Linked DNA regions of Sus scrofa. The main gene of each other region encodes a partner of the protein of the gene in region 2 in a complex. Links are inferred from orthologs where the notes say so. Each region holds a gene or a part of one and is shown on either strand. Other genes may lie near its edges. The genes, in order: NUDC and DNAJB1.

What was found.
Region 1: the proteins of DNAJB1 (region 2) and NUDC are in contact, whole or in part, in a crystal structure (PDB 7NDX), measured with the Homo sapiens proteins. The link is inferred for Sus scrofa from reciprocal best matches to the Homo sapiens genes DNAJB1 and NUDC. Residues at the interface, in NP_006136.1 of Homo sapiens: His166, Lys181, Lys182, Met183, Lys184, Ile185, Ser186, Asp201, Lys202, Ile203, Ile235, Phe237; in NP_006591.1 of Homo sapiens: Pro102, Gln103, Ile104, Lys105, Glu106, Leu107, Ala112, Leu115, Gln116, Ile119.

What each region holds. Positions count from the first base shown.
Region 1 is NC_010448.4:84,235,818-84,243,555, forward strand, and holds the start of NUDC (nuclear migration protein nudC), read left to right. Parts: upstream 1-2,877; 5' UTR 2,878-2,985; coding exon 2,986-3,066; intron 3,067-5,449; coding exon 5,450-5,527; intron 5,528-7,738. UniProt on the Homo sapiens protein: Plays a role in neurogenesis and neuronal migration. Necessary for correct formation of mitotic spindles and chromosome separation during mitosis. Necessary for cytokinesis and cell proliferation.
Region 2 is NC_010444.4:64,758,665-64,766,550, reverse strand, and holds DNAJB1 (dnaJ homolog subfamily B member 1), read right to left. Parts: upstream 4,880-7,886; 5' UTR 4,756-4,879; coding exon 4,545-4,755; intron 3,336-4,544; coding exon 2,758-3,335; intron 2,461-2,757; coding exon 2,230-2,460; 3' UTR 2,069-2,229; downstream 1-2,068. UniProt on the Homo sapiens protein: Interacts with HSP70 and can stimulate its ATPase activity. Stimulates the association between HSC70 and HIP. Negatively regulates heat shock-induced HSF1 transcriptional activity during the attenuation and recovery phase period of the heat shock response.

The DNA.
Region 1 (7,738 bases), on a different chromosome or scaffold from region 2:
CAATAATTTTCAGATATTATAGAATATCCATTAAGAGTTCAAATTTGAAATTGTCTCATAAAAGTATTGTTATTGTGTTTAAATATACATAACAGGAGTTCCTGTTGTGGTTCAGTGGGTTAAGAACCTGACTAGTATGCATGAGGATGTCAGTTCGATCCCTGGCCTTGATCACTGGGTTAAGGATCCAGTGTTGCCATGCACCATGGCATAGGTCACAGATGTGCCTCGGATCTGATGTGCAGCTGGCAACTGCGGTTTGATTTGATCCCTAGCCTGAGAACTTCCTTGTGTCACAATTTCGGCCCTAAAAAGAAAAAAAAAAAAAACCATAACAGTACATTTACCATTTTAACTTTTTTTCTTTTTTTTCATTTTAGGGCTGCACCCACGACATATGGACGTGCCCGGGCCAGTAACCCAAACCGCTGCAGCTGGATTCTTAACCCACTGTGCCACAGTGGGAACTCCCCATTTTAACCATTTTTAAGTTTATAGTTCAGTGGCATTAAATACATTCACATTGATGTGCCATCATTTCCACCATCCATTCACCAGCCTTGGATGAGTTTTGGAATATCTGTTAATTATCCAAGTGGAGTTGTCCAGGGGCGCTGTCCAGGAGGTAGGTAAAGAGATGGTCCTGGCACTCAGGAAATGTCTGGGTGAGGTACCATGAGTATAAATAGAGAGGAAAAGAGGAGAGGGTAAAGGACAGAGCCCCCAACATTTATAAACCTGGGTAGATCAGAACACGGAGAAGGAGAGTTAGTGAAGTGGGAAGAAAACCATGTAAGTGTGAGGACGTGCAAACTCTGTCAGTCTGCTAGGGCTGCCATAACAAACTATTACAGACTGACTTGACAACAGTAGTTAATTTTATTACAGTTCTCCAAACCTGGAAGTCCAAGATCAAGATGTTGGCAGGTTTGCTTTCCTCTGAGGCTTCTCTTTTTGGCTTGCACATAGCTGCCTCACGTGGCCTTTCCTCCGCTTGCTCGTGAGTCCCTGGGTTTTCTTTCTCTTCTAGTAAGGACACTAACTATTTTGGATTAGGGCCACATCTGTATGAATTAACTCTAATTACATGTTTAAATACCCCTATTTCCAAAAAACAGTCACACTGGGAGTAAGGGTTTCTTCTTAATTTTTTTTTTTTTTTTTTTGGCTCTTTAGGGCAGAATTGTGGCACATGGAGGTTTCAGGCTAGGGGTCGAATCTGAGCTGTAGCCACCGGCCTAGGCCATAGCTACAGCAACTCCGGATCAGAACCTCATCTGGGACCTATACCACAGCTCATGGCAATACTGGATCCTTAACCCACTGAGTGAGGCCAGGGATCAAACCTGCGTCTTCACAGAAACTAGTCAGATTTGTTTCTGCTGAGCCGCGGTGGGAATTCCAAAGAGAGTTAGGGTTTCAATATAAGAATAATGGAGGAATACAGTTCCATCCATAACAGAAGACTAGGGAAAAAATTGTTTCTAGAAGGAAGAAGAGGTCAACTGTGTCAAATGCAGCTGAGAAGCTGAGCACTGTAATAGTGCTTTACTGGTTTTGGCAATAAGTAGGTCATTGTATCCTTGGTCAGAGTCTTAAGTAAAGACCAGAGTAAATCGAGGAGAGACGGAAGGTGAGGAAGTGGAGAAACAAGTATAGCAAATTTTTTTCAAGTTTTGCTGTCAAAGAGATTTTAAAATTGGGATAGGAGTTCCCATCGAAGCTCAGTGCTTAACGAATCTGACTAGGAACCATGAGGTTGCGGGTTCGATCCCTGGCCTTGCTCAGTGGGTTAAGGATCCGGTGTTGCAGTGAGCTGTGGCGTGGGTCGCAGATGCAGCTTGGATCTTGCGATGCTGTAGCTCTGGCGTAGGACGGTGGCTATAGCTCTGATTGGACTCCATGTGCCGCAGGAACGGCTCAAGAAAAGGCAAAAAGACAAAAAATAAAATAAAATAAAAAATAAAAAAATAAAATTGGAATGGTAGGAGGAGAAAAGTTTGTGTGGGGGGGTCATAGAAGAATAAAAAAAGAAGTGGCATTAAAGTATATTTGTAAGTTAAAAGGGATGATCCAGAAGAAAGAAAATTGTGATGCAGATTCATTGAGTAGGGAAAAAAAAAAATTCTGATGCAGGAGAATTAGGAAAGGATAGTAAGAGTAGAATCCCTGAAAAGACTAAGATGATGAAATTCAATACAAAAGTAGAGGGTTTGGCCTTAGATGGCTGGGGTCTGTCCCGCACAAAAGTGAAGTTCGAATTTAGCACTCATTACATAATTTGCATGAAACTGCGCAAAATGACAATGCGGGGTTGGGGGTGGGGCTCTTGTTAAAAAATATTAAGAGTCTCAGGACTGCAGCAGAAGAGCATTAACCCCAGCACCAAGGGACTTTCTAAGTCCGGGTCCCCTGCGACTGCACAATTTGTATGGAGTATGTGATGACAACAGGGGTAGGCTGTCTTTTGGGGCAAGTTCCCTTCTCCTTTCTGGGCCTCAGTTGGCCGATGGAAAACTTGGAAGAGATGATTAAGAACGCTTTACCGTTCTACAAGCTCAGCGGTCACTCTCAAGGCGTAAATTCAAAGTTTGTGCTTTTTCAACTTTCAGGCCCGCGTGATTTGAGCCCAGGGTTTTCTGGAAGGCTCCAAAAGGTTCCTGGTGACCATAGCAACTCACACCAAACTCAGAGGCCTTCGACTCCGCCCACCGCTCACGGACGCGCTCTTTGATTGGCTCAGCAAGTCGACCAATGGTCAGTGAAGCGGGCTGCTTGCCGCACGGTCAATGGCCGCTGGCCACAAGGGAGGCGGGAGGAGAGAGCAGGCGGGCGGGCCAAGGCAGCGGGGCGCGTGCGTGTTTCCGTCTCCGCTGCGGAAGGCGGAGGACTGAAACCGTTGCACCGGACGCGACCCGAAGGCGCCGAGAGCGCGGGACGCGAGAGCAGAGCTCAGATTTCGGAGCGTGGCTAGCAGCTGGCAAGATGGGTGGAGACCAGGAGGAGGATCGTTTCGACGGCATGTTGTTGGCGATGGCGCAGCAGCACGAGGGAGGCGTGCAGGAGGTAACGACCCGCTCGGCATTGGCTTGGCCTGGCCCACCCAGGCGGCCCAGCCACTCTCTTTCCTCCCTTCGCTGCCTTCGAGAGACGAGATCCACCCCTGGGCCTTGCGGGCTTTAGGATCCCGCATTCTCATTGCACCCCAGCTTCTAGTCTGGCCTCCCCGCCGCAAGTCTTGCGCTCGGACCAGTTCTGGATCCCTGGGGCCCCTCAGTAGTTACCATCTTAACAGCTCTGGCATCCCTTTATCTGCCCCTGGGAAGGCCCGAGTCTTGGAATCCCTTCCCCCTCTTTAGTCTCCAACCTGCTTCCGGCCCTTTTCCCCTCTGGTGGCCGCCCCCAAAGAACATCCTTTAGGATGTTCTAGGCATTGAGATTTGCATGTACCAAGACTTGGGGCGAGCGGAAGAATGTATGCGATGTGTGGGGGTGGGGGGGGTGATATTAACACGTGGTCTTTCTAGATCTTGAATGAGAGAATAGGAGGCGTGTTTTGCATTTCCTAACAACTTGGACTGTTTCATGTCTCCAAGCTTCAGTTTCTTTCTTTGAGACAGAGCTACGAATCCTTACTTCCTGAATTTGTAGGAGAGTAGTGTCTTGAAGTGAAGGACAGTGAAGAATTCTCGGTAATCAGACTCGAACATTCAACAAGTGTTTGTTGAGTAATTGATGTGTGCAAGAACATAATTCATGCTTAGTGACCAAACCCAATAACATGTGTAGGAAAAGGATAAGGACCAACTAGTAAAGATTCTGGAGTTGGTTTTTTGGACGATGGAAAGTTAAACGTAGCAAAACCTATCAAGATTAGTCTTTCTTTAAAGAAACTGAAGGAGCTTGCCCAAGCTCATCCAACAGGCTCCTGGCTTAGAGGGGACCAGAATCCTTAGGCCAGTGTGTGCTTTCCACAGTCCATTGTTGATTCTGTGTCTCATTGGAGCCTTCCATTCCCATTCTCATTCAGGTCCCTGTGGGAAGAGTGCTACTAATTTGCAGATGTGAAAGTCTCCCTTCTCCTACCCCCCTAAATTGTTGTTGCACCTGGATTTGGAAGTGAGTTCATTTTTGAGTGAATTGAAAAAGTGTCCAGAAGCAGGAATTGAAACTGTTGAGATAAATTCTAGCGTCAGATTTAGAACCTCTCACTTGGGCAAATAAAAGGGCTTATTTATATGTGCCAACCCTCAGTCATCACTAGATCTTTTTGCTCAGCAAAAGTTTTCTGAGCATGCACTCTGAGCCAGGTCTGGTGCCAGGCCTTGGGGATGTACACAGAGTCATGGTTCATGGTGCCTACTTGTGAGGAGCTCTCTCTGTGGCCGAGGTTCTTTAGCCAGACGCTATTAAGGACCTCACCTGCATGTCTTCCTTTGGTCCTCTCAAGGATCCTCACGTGTATCCCTAGAAATTGGTCCTGCTGCTATTTCTGTTTCATAGAGTTAAGACACTGTCCCCAGGTCACAGAGCTAATGTATATCAATCTAATGGCCAAAACGATGCTCTTTTTTTTTTTCCTTTTTAGGGCCACACCCATGGCATATGGAAGTTCACAGGCTAGGGTTTGAATCAGAGCTGCAGCTGCCAGCCTATGCCACAGTCATAGCAACGCCAGATCCAAGCCATGTCTGTGACCTGCACCACAGCCCACTGCAACGCTCGATCTTTACCCCACTGAGCAAGGCCAGGGATCGAACCCATGTCCTCATGAATATTAGTTGCGTTCATAAGCACTGAGCCACAACGGGAACTCCCAAACCGACGCACTTAACAACTTGACTGCACTGATGCACCCAGCCAGAGTTAGCTGGTTTTGGAGTTCCCTGGTGGCCTGGTGGTTATGGATCCAGTGTTGTCCATGCTGTGGCTTGATTTTGATCCCTGGCCCCAGGAGCTTCTGTAGCTAACCTCCCTCCTCCCCTCAAAGAAAAAAACACCAGAGTTAGTGGGTCTTAACCTTCTTTGAAGTGGCCTTCTTTGTTCTCTCCTTCCAGCTCTGCCCTAGTAACTCAGCCAGCGCCACTCTGGATGGGCTTTTTGCTACATGGAGAGGAAAGCTAGGCCCCAGGCATTTCAAACCTGGATGCAGTGCCCCATATCCTCAGGCTGCTTCTAGCATCACAAAAAATGTGAAATACACATATGCATATACACAAGAAATGAGAATTCTCCCTTTCTGTTGCTCTAGATCAGGTTAGGTTAGGCTTCCTGGCAGAAGTAACTAAGGCAGGGCTGTTGGGGGGGATGTTTTCCCAGTTGGGAGGCTCAGGGTTGAAATGGTCCAGTCCCAAGTTCCTTCCTAGGTGAAGGAGGTTGCTTGTGTGTGGTTAAGGGGCTCCCTGTATGGCACCTCTACAGCTTCAGTCTTTTGCCTTCTGTCTTTCAGCTTGTGAACACTTTCTTCAGCTTCCTTCGTCGCAAAACAGACTTTTTTGTTGGAGGAGAAGAGGGGATGGCAGAGAAGGTGAGTGTTGGCGAGCTTACCTGGCCTTCCTTTGGCATAATAATAACCTTTCGCAGAAGTTAACACGCCAAGGGCAAGAGTTGGGGAAGGAAAGCATTTACTGTCATTTATTGAAGTCCCTTTCCTTGCCAAGTGCTTTATCTACCCTGCTTTCCATGGTCCTTTAGCAGTTTGAGAGGGGCAGCTGTTACTATCTCCGTTTACAAAGGAGAACGTTGCTCCGAGTTATGAGAGACAGGTTGGAACCAGAGTCTGTTGTAAAACTGCCTTCTGGCCCTGGCATCACGCTTCTTGGTTTCTTTTCTACTGTGGAGGTTTTATCTAATTACCTAGCTGGGAGATGAGAGCAGGCAAATGTAAAACACTGAGCTTAGAAAAACAGATGTCGGAAAAATCAAAACCTACCAATCCTAGTCTTGCCAGATGCTTGTGACCCAAAGTTCAAGGATTTGAGAATTGCAGGGGGTTTTTTTGTTTTTGTTTTTTTTAACCGAAGTCTAGTTGATTTATAATGTTGTGTTCGTTTCAGGTATACGGTAAAGTGATTTGGGTTTTGTGTGTGTGTGTGTGTGTGTGTGTGTGTGTGTGACAGTGAAGAAGTGATGGGTGTTAGGGCACAAGTTCTGGGAGCATAAAATGGGGGCTCCAGGAAAACTTCCTGAGGAAGAGGTGCCTGCGGTACGAAGGCTGAGTAAGACAGCAGGCAGAAGGGAGAGAGGTGAACAATATCCAGACGTTACATCTCAGAAGTATCCCAGGGATGACGGTAGCTGCCACGTATTGGATGTTTGCTGGTCCCTCTTAGACCCTCCCTGCTGTGCTCCTTAGAGTCACCTCTTCCCCAGGAGGTTGGTCAGACCCTCAGGCAGGCAGAATCCTGTCCACCCTTCTCACCTGGTCTCCAGTGGTAACACGCTAACACCTTTATGTTGAGCACCTACTGTGCGCAGGGCTGCCAGATAACATCACTTTCAAGTCCTTGGGTTAAGAGCTCGGCTCTGGAGCTAGGTGTCCCCTCTCCCTGCTTGGCAGCTGTGTAGCGTTGGGTGAATCACTTCCCGATTCACTTGGTTTTCTATAAGACAGGGATGCTCTTTCCCTCACGGAGCTGTTGTGAGGATATAAGGAGGTAATATAGTGTGGCTGGCATATGCGAATACAAGTTCACAGTCCCTTTTTCAGACCTCTTGGGGTCAGGAGCATTTTGAGACATAGAATTCTTTGGCTCTTTGGAGGCCATACGGAGTATATACTGTCCATCACATGCAGGACCCCAGTCTGGGGGTCAGGAGCGGCATCCTGGAATGAAACTTGAATATTTCCGCAGAGAAATATGTATCAATATTTATACCATGTGGGAGATAATGAAGACTGTAAATATCTTCACGCTACAAACTTAGAGAAATACAAACGCACATTTAGTTTTTATAGTCTGGGGCTAGGAATTATGGATTGGAATAAAGTCATAATGATCACATCAGTATGTTACTGACAGAGAAAAGACAAATGGACTAACGAAGCAGAATAGAGAACCCAAAAAGGTCTTGCACGTATGAGGATTTAAGATGGGTCCAGTAAGGTAATTCAGTTCAGTAGGCAAAGGATGATTTAATAAGTTGTGCTGCTACTACTGGCTATTTATCTATAAAAAATGTAGCATCTGTTTTACTCATATCTAAAAATATATTGCAGCTCAAAAGAACCTCTTGAGGAAAGCTAGGAAACTAAGTATAGTCTTCTGTGGAGGAGGCCTGGCAAGGATAGAAATCTGGAAGCTATATGGAGTTCCTGTCGTAGTGCAGTGGTTAATGAATCCGACTAGGAACCGTGAGGTTGTGGGTTCGATCCCTGACCTTGCTCAGTGGGTTAAGGATCTGGGATTGCTGTGGCTCTGGCGTAGGCCGGTGGCTACGGCTCCGATTTGACCCCTAGCCTGGGAATCTCCATATGCTGTGGGAGTGGCTCAAGAAAAGGCAAAAAGACCAAAAAAAAGAAAAAAAAAATCTGGAAGCTGAAGGAGAAAAGGTAGCTGTTGGCCTCTTCAAACACAGGAAATGTGTAGCCAAAGAGACTTAATGACATCTAAAGTCTATTGAAAAGAAGTAGATTTGGGAAAAAAAAGTGCAATGGAGAGGACAGATAAAATTTAATAGCCAATTCAATATGCAGGGACTCTTGTAAATTGACATGAAAAGGATAGACAGACAAATG
Region 2 (7,886 bases):
CACTGAAGCTCTGTGCATATTTGTGCCAAGGGCTTTCTGATATGAGGTTGATAGGGACCTGCGATGTAACACGTAATCAAGGAGACTGGGGTGAGGGGGAATGGTGGCCTTGAGGGTCTGTGACCCCAGCTGAGGGCCTGGGTCAATTCTGCAGTAAATGTCATCTCAGTCCCTGAGGTAGCTGTGTAATTACATCTTGTGATAAGGTCTCTTTTGGTTCTGATAGTCCAGGGGTGACCTCCCAAATAGGACAGCCTTTCTGGGCTCAACGTGGCTGCTGTCCTAAGAGACCTGTCTTGGATTTGGGGTTAAAGCCCTCTGTGTTATGCCATAGCCTCTGCAAGCCACGTGTGGCTGGAGCTCTCAAGCAACTTAACTTGAAATCTTTAAGAATGTCTGTTTTAAAGACAGAGAACATTCCTATCACTGAAGAAAGTTCTCTTGGACAGCACTGCCCTTAGACTGCTTTCAGTAGTTAAACTGCTTCAGTGGGAAGGCAAAGCCACTCCTAGATTGGTTAAATATGGTGTTTTTACTTTTAAGATGTTTTGTAGCAAAATAGCAATAGGTTGTTTTCTGCCTGTATAATCACTTACCTTATAATAAAACCAGGTCCTTACTAAAAGTTACAAAGTAAAAGCAGTTTCAGTGGCCTGCAAATAAAATAGGTCTTCTCCAGGGCAGCTGGAATCCTAACCTGGTTTGGCCAGGGCCTGCCCAACACCAGCTTGTTCTAGCAAGAAAGGAATGGGGGAGATCATGAAGGTAGAGTATACACCTCCCCTAGGTCCCAGCAACCAGATCTTGGAAGACCTGAAAGAGGACCTGCTTAACTCTGGCCCCAACCTTCACCAAAAACACAAGCTCTGAATCCACAGGGCTCTTTGGATACCTAGATCCAGGGTCCAGTGGGTTGATGTTGTGCAGCCCACATCCAGCTGAGGAAGGCAGAAGCTCCTGACAACCTCTCCCTCCCACCTACCCTGGCTGCCTTTGGAGGGATGCCCAGACTCCACCCCAGCCCATCAGCAGAGCCCTCAAACAGAGTCGCAGGACTGCTCCCCTGAGGTTTAGCATCAGTCTTTAATGCTGTCACGCTGCACATTGACAAGTCACACACTTTGGTCTTGTGTTGGCAGTGGCAACTTACAATGAGTCTAAAGGTCTGAGCACCAGACTGGCCTGTAGGGAACAGACATTTGTTCCGACACCCTCCCCACCCCCACCCCACCACCAAGTTTCCTTCTGAATTCCATCATGGCCCTATACAGAGAACAGCAGCTGCTGTGGACTGGTTTCATTTGAGTGCACACCAACTTTACATGGAATTATAAAAACATATTTACAGACGTTCCACAGTGCTCCTGTAATCAGAAGCAAAGACCCTTTTATCAAAAGGGATTATATCTAGGGCTGTGCAAAATTCAAAAGGATTAGATCCTTTTGAGAGAGTCCAGAGTCCATTAAACAAAAATTACCTGGGCCGCTGGTAAATCCCAGGTGTGCCAAAAGATTGCCTTAAAGAACAGGAAGGTGAGTGTACTCAGCCTCAGAACCAGGGGTTGAGAGGGCCCCCCGCTCCAGCCAGGGCCTCCGACCCTTGAGGGAGAGGCAGCTGCACATTATTCACTTACTGGAGGCTGGCTCCCTTGGTCCTGCTGGAACAAGAGGTATTGCTTATGGGAGCCGGCCAGGCAGTTCTGCAAAATAGTCTAGGTTCTCAATTTGAGATGGCAAAAGAGAAAACAGGATTCTTCAGGGGAAGAGCAAGATGTGGGAGACAAATACAGAATAAAACATGAACTGATCACACAACAGAAACAGGAGTGTACAGGGTCTGGTAACCAAGATGGGAGGTCGACACATCTAACATCCGCAAGCAAAGGGACTACAGAGAGTTCAAGTCCAGCTGTGGGTCTGCCTCTCGCCCTGGGCAGGGCCTGGAGGAGGAAGGTGTGGGCCCATCCTCAAGGGCTGCAGGACCCAGTGGGGCAGACCGAACTGCCTTCTCCTGCTGTCCCCACCACCTGCCGCCCTATCGCTCGAAAAACCACTTTAGTCTAGTGCACGACTTTGAAAGATTGTAATATATTCTCTGGAAAACATTCAGCAGTACGAAAGCCCTCCCTGGGCCCTCCCACACTCTCGCGGATCCACAACTGGTGGAACGGTCCAGAAATCCTTGAGCTCTGGAAAGGTCCCTGGTCAGTCCTTGGGGAACATGGGTGATTATACCGGAAGAACCTGCTCAAGGACGGTTCTTGAGGTCTGGGGAATCCTCTCAGGGAAGATTACTTCAAACTCAATAATGAGGTCCCCGCGTTTCTCAGGTGTTTTGGGAAGAGGGAGGCCTTCTCCAGGAACTTTTCGCCGCATGCCAGGCCTGATGACATCTTTGAACACAACGGGTATGGTCCTGCCGTCCAGAGTGGGGACGTTCACTGTACAGCCACACAAAGCCTTGGAAAGCAAAGGGACAGCATTAGATTGCAAGAAGCTTAGAAAGCTCACATCCTGCCCAGAGGCTATTTAGTGGAGGATAAATGCCATCAGGCCTTTGCAGCTGACCCTGCCCCAATCTACCCAGGTACAGCACAGAAGCTCTGGAAAAACAGAGCCTTGGAGAGTCTTACTGTTACTGCACGCCCCAAGCCTGGCATACACCAAGTGCTCAGAAATATCTGTTAAGCAAAATACAGAACTGCTTCCAAAGGCAGCCTTCTCCCTCCACAGACACTGCCCTGCCTAGTGCCTTACCTCCCGAAGGGTAATCCTGGCTGGGTAAATGACATCAGAGCCATCTCTCTTAAAAATATTGTGTGGCTTGTCCTTTAAAACAAAGACAATGTCGGCTGGAATGTTGTTGGAGGTCTGGTCTCCTTCCTTGGGGAAGGTGATTTTGGTCCCTTCTTTCCACCCCCGCTTCACTTCGATGGTCAAGATTTTGTCTTCGTTGCGAATGCTCTTTCCATCGGGGTTCAGCCGCTTATGAGAGATTTTCATTTTCTTGGTACAGCCGCTATAGATCTCTTCAAGTGAAACCCTAAGGTCATGGGTGACGGGGGGATCTTGCTTCTTTCGGGTGGGTTCTTGTGCAGGGCGGGAGCGGCCAAAGTTTGCAGTGGTGAAGCCACCCATGCCCATGGGGAAGCCAGAAAACGGGTCATCAATGTCCATGCCTTCCTCCCCGTTGCGCTGCCCAAAGAAGGTGTCAAAGGGATTTCGGCCACCGAAGAACTCAGCAAACATGGCATGAGGGTCTCCATGGAATGTGTAGCTGAAAGAGGTCCCGTTAGCACCGCTGCTCCCACCACTTGGGCCACCACCCTTCAGGCCTGAAATGCAAAAGCAAAAGAAATCAGATGGCTGGCCAGGACCTTTTCTCTCTAGGAGCTTTCCTTGAGGGGAAAAAAAGAGTTGAGAGCCATCAAGGAAGAATTTTTTTTTCTTTTTTTGGCTGTCAGGAAAGAGCAAGGAGGAACTCCAAGCTTTTTCTTCCCACTTGCAGTCTCAAAAACAGAACCACCATCACCCACAGGTAGTTAGTTCACTGTGGCCTGACAGTGGAGACGGGCTCGAGCTCTAAGATGGCCATCTCTTGGGGCCACCACCTAGGTCTTCACATTTGAGTGACCCATCTTTCCTACAATGTTACAAGGAGTACAAAGAACTCAAGACAGCCAATGAAAAAGGTGTGATCCAGGGTCAGTTTTCACCAAATGTTTACTCTGAAATACTTTAGAGCTAGAGACTGTAGGGAGAGTAGAAATGAAGGTGAAACAGCAATCGGAGATTTCAAATTCTCACGCTCTGACACTAAGTGCCACCATTCTTATATATAAAAAGTCATTTCTTTCTTAAGACCAAACCGAGAAACCAATCTGAGTCATCAACAGGCAGCTGGACAACAAGAAAGCTTCTCCTCCCGCTCCCCCGCCTCCCCAAGAGAGCTATCCTGGTGAGGCCGGGCAGAGGCGGGCCCTACTGCTCCTTGCACCTTGACCACCGACTACGTGTCTGGCACGGGGCTAGGTAAGCATTTTACAGGGATTACCTCACTCCACCCTCAAAGACGCCCGGGAGGTCGCTGGGCGCTAATTGGCACTCTCATTTGCAAGCTCACTGCAAGCAGCCTGCGCCCGGCGCTCAGCCAGAGGCCTCGCCCTGCACCCTGGGCTGGCAGAGGCTCTCACCTCGCCCAGGTGAGCCCAGCGCCCGAGGGGCCGCAGCGCCATCATCAAGGCTGCGCACTCTACCCCCTCTCCTTCTGCACCCTCTCCCCCACCGACGGATCGCGGACGTGGGCGGAGACGGGCGGCCCCAGACATACTAGAAGCTTCTGGGCGAGCAGCGCGGCCAGGACTCCTCCTCCCATCGGGAGGCCGCCAATCGAGGGCGGAGGCCTGTTTGGCCAAAAGGCGGGGGCTGCTCGTCCCCCGGTCCCTTAGCGCTACCCCGGGGACGCCGCCGGGGTACCGCAGTGCCTCGATCTCTCCGCCTGTCAAACAGCGGTGGCGCACCCCCAGTTGCGCGCGCGCACACACCTTCCTCCCCGTAGCGGTCGAAGATCTCGCGCTTGCGCGGGTCGCTGAGCACGTCGTAGGCCTCGGCGATCTCCTTGAACTTCTCCTCGGCGCCGGGCTCCTTGTTCTTGTCCGGGTGGTAACGCAGCGCTTGACGGCGGTAGGCTCTCTTGATCTCCTCGTCCGAGGCACCGCGGGCCAGGCCCAGCGTCTGATAATAGTCTTTGCCCATTGCCCCCGCCTGCGGCCTGCCGCCCAGCTGTCGCCGTACCCCGGCTCCGCCACCGCCCCGTCCCGGACTCTATATACCCGTCCGGCGGAAGCTTCCAGAGCCCGCCAGCCCCCTCCAGAACCTTCCGCCCCGCCCCCCACGCGGCTCCGACCAATCGTCGCTGCCCAGGTTGCGACGCGCGACATCCGGGGCGGGGACGCGCCGCCAACGGCTGCCCGCGCGTGGCCACACCCCTTCCCGCTCCGCCCTAGGCAACGCTTCGCCGCAGCGCGGGCACTGGGCGTCTGAGGCCCCGCCCACTCTCTGAGGGAACCAATAGCGACCTTGCTTCAGTGCTTCCGGGGACCGGGCCTGCCGCGTACTCCGCCCCTGCCTGGGTCAACAGGTTAAAGTGCGGGTGCTTCGATGTTCCAGTCTTGGCTCAGTGGTTAACGAATCTGACTAGGATCCCTGTCCTCGCTCAGTGGGTTAAGGATCCAGGGATTCCGTGAGCTGTGGTGTAGGTCGCAGACGTGGTTCGGATCCCGCGTTGCTGTGGCTCTGGCGCAGGCTGGCGGCTACAGCTCCGATTGGACCCCCTAGCCTGGAAATCTCCATATGTCTCAGTGCGGCCCTAGAGGAGACAAAAAAAAAAAAAAAAAAAAAAAAAAATGCGGTGCTTCGAGTAGGGCGGGGCTGCGAAAGGCCCCGGGCTGCGAAAGGCCCCGCCCTTCCCCTAGGAGGTGCTTCCTTCCCCCATCTCGCTGGGCGGGAGAATCAGTTTACGCCAGGTGATTCAAGGCTAGTTGCCTAATCGCTCCTTGTCCCAGATACCTGCTTCCATCCGGGAATAAAAATACCCCCCTACCGGTCGTGGCGCAGCGGAATCGCATCCGACTGGGAGACATGAGGTTGTGGATTTGATCGGGTGGAGCCATGTGCCGCGGGTGGGGCCCCAAAAAGCAAAAAAAAAAACCAAAAACAAAAAAAAAAACCCCACTCACCCTCAGTGTTGGGAGCCCCAGAACTGTCCCTCTCCTCACCCATACCGACCCTGTAAAGCGAGCCAAGGACCCTGGACCAAAGCTTACCTCCCTGGAGAGGTCTCCTCAGTCTAACCCCTCAAGCCTTTTGCTTTATTACCATTTTCTCAAGAATACCTCCCACTGAAATTTGGAATTATCTTGTTCCTTGGTTTTCATGCTAAATGTCACCCCCCCCCCAGCCTTTGATCACTATCAGAGCAGGGCCTGACCTCTGTCAGTGCTGAGTCTCAGTGTCAGAACAGTCTGACTCTTCCTAAATATTCCCGGCTATGTTTTTTTATTTGTTTGGCCACAGGCGGCATATAGAAGTTCCCTGGCCAAGGACTGAACCTGCACTCCACGAGTTCCCATCGTGTAACTAGGAACCATGAGGTTGCGGATTCCATCCCTGGCCTTGCTTAATGAGTTAAGGATTTGGCATTGCAGTGAGCTTTGGTGTAGGTTGCAGAGGTGGCTTGGATCTGATGTTGCTGTAGCTGTGGTGCATGCCAGCAGCTGTAGCTCCAACTGGACCCCTAGCCTGGGAACCTCCATATGCCGAGGGTGTGGCCCTAAAAAGATAAAAAAAAAAAAAAAGCATAAAAACACTGCACTCCCGTTGCCACCAGTGCTGCGCTACAGCAACTTGGGATCCTTAACTTCTGTGCCACATGGGAACTTTCTAGTTCTGGCTTTTTTTTTTTTTAAGGGCCACAGCTGCGGCATATAGAAGTTCCCAGGCTAGGGCTTGAATTGGAGCTGCAGCCGCAGGCCTTGACACAGCCGCAGCAACACCAGATCCGTGCCATATCTGTCACCTACGTGCCACACCTCATGGCAATGCCTGGTCCTTAACCCACTAAGTGAGGCCAGGGGTTGAACCAGAATTCTCATGGATGCTAGTCGGATTTGTTACTGCTGAGCCACAATGGGAACTCCTATTCCTGGCTATTTTTAATGCACCTGCTTCTTTTTCTCTCCCCACTACCTTTATGATTTCGGGGAGACATGGGTGTGGCATACACCTCTCAGAGCCTCTGCTTCCTCATCGGCAGGCAACATGATCCCTTTTGGCTTTCAGAGTCTGGGGAAAGTCTGTGGTCAAGGACAAGGCTGATAGGGAAAGGAGGCTCTGAAAGGAGTACAGCCTGAGAAGGGAATAGGGAAGAAGGGATAGGTGGTGGTGGCCTGTGAAGGGGAGAGGTTCCTGGAAGAACTGCTTGGGAGATCCAGGCAGTGTGACACTGGCTCTGCAGCCAGACAGCCAGATTTTCATTCTTGGTTACAGCACTTCCTGGCTGTGAAACCCCTTGGGCTGGTGACTGAGCCTTCCAGGGCCTTAGCCTCTTCATGTGTACAATGGGAGTTGTAGTTGTACCTGCCTCATAGGGCTTTGAAATTGACATTGAGTCAACATTTGTAAAGTGCCCAAGACAGGCCTGGCCTAGAGGAAGTGCTGTCAAAGTGGTGACTAATCATCTGGTTGAATGGTGGGCTGCTGGGCCATCCCTTTCCTGGCAGCACCTCAGCAAAAAGCTTCTAGTAACTACTGCCCAGGCTGGAACTCCTGAGAAAGACAACCATGTCCTTTCCCTGCTATCTAGCAGGGGTATTCTGGCCGTTCACTGACTCTAGGGTAGCCATATCAGTAAGGTCTCTGGACTAGGACACATAGCAGCTGACCTGGGAGGATGCATCTTAGCCTGGGTGCCCAGGGGCACAGCATGGTAGGGGTCCTGAACCAATCATGGAGGGGAGAGAGTTTGATTTTTTTTTCACACCCAAGGCATATGGAAGTTCCCTGGCTAGGGGTCGAATTGGAGCTGTAGCTGCCTGCCTACACCACAGCCACAGCTGCGGGATCCTAGCCACATCTGCAACCTACACCACAGCTCACAGCAATGCTGGATCCTTAACTTACTGAAAGAGGCCAGGGATCAAACCCGAGTCCTCATGGATACTGGTCAGGTTCTTTAACCACTGAACCATGACAGGAACACCTGATTTTTTTTTTTTTAAGTTACATAAATAGGTAACAGGGGAGTCATCATGGGGAAAAACCCAGAGCTTGTGGACTTCCTCACACTTATAAACTTAACTTAGAGTTACAAATGTGGGGGCCTCCGA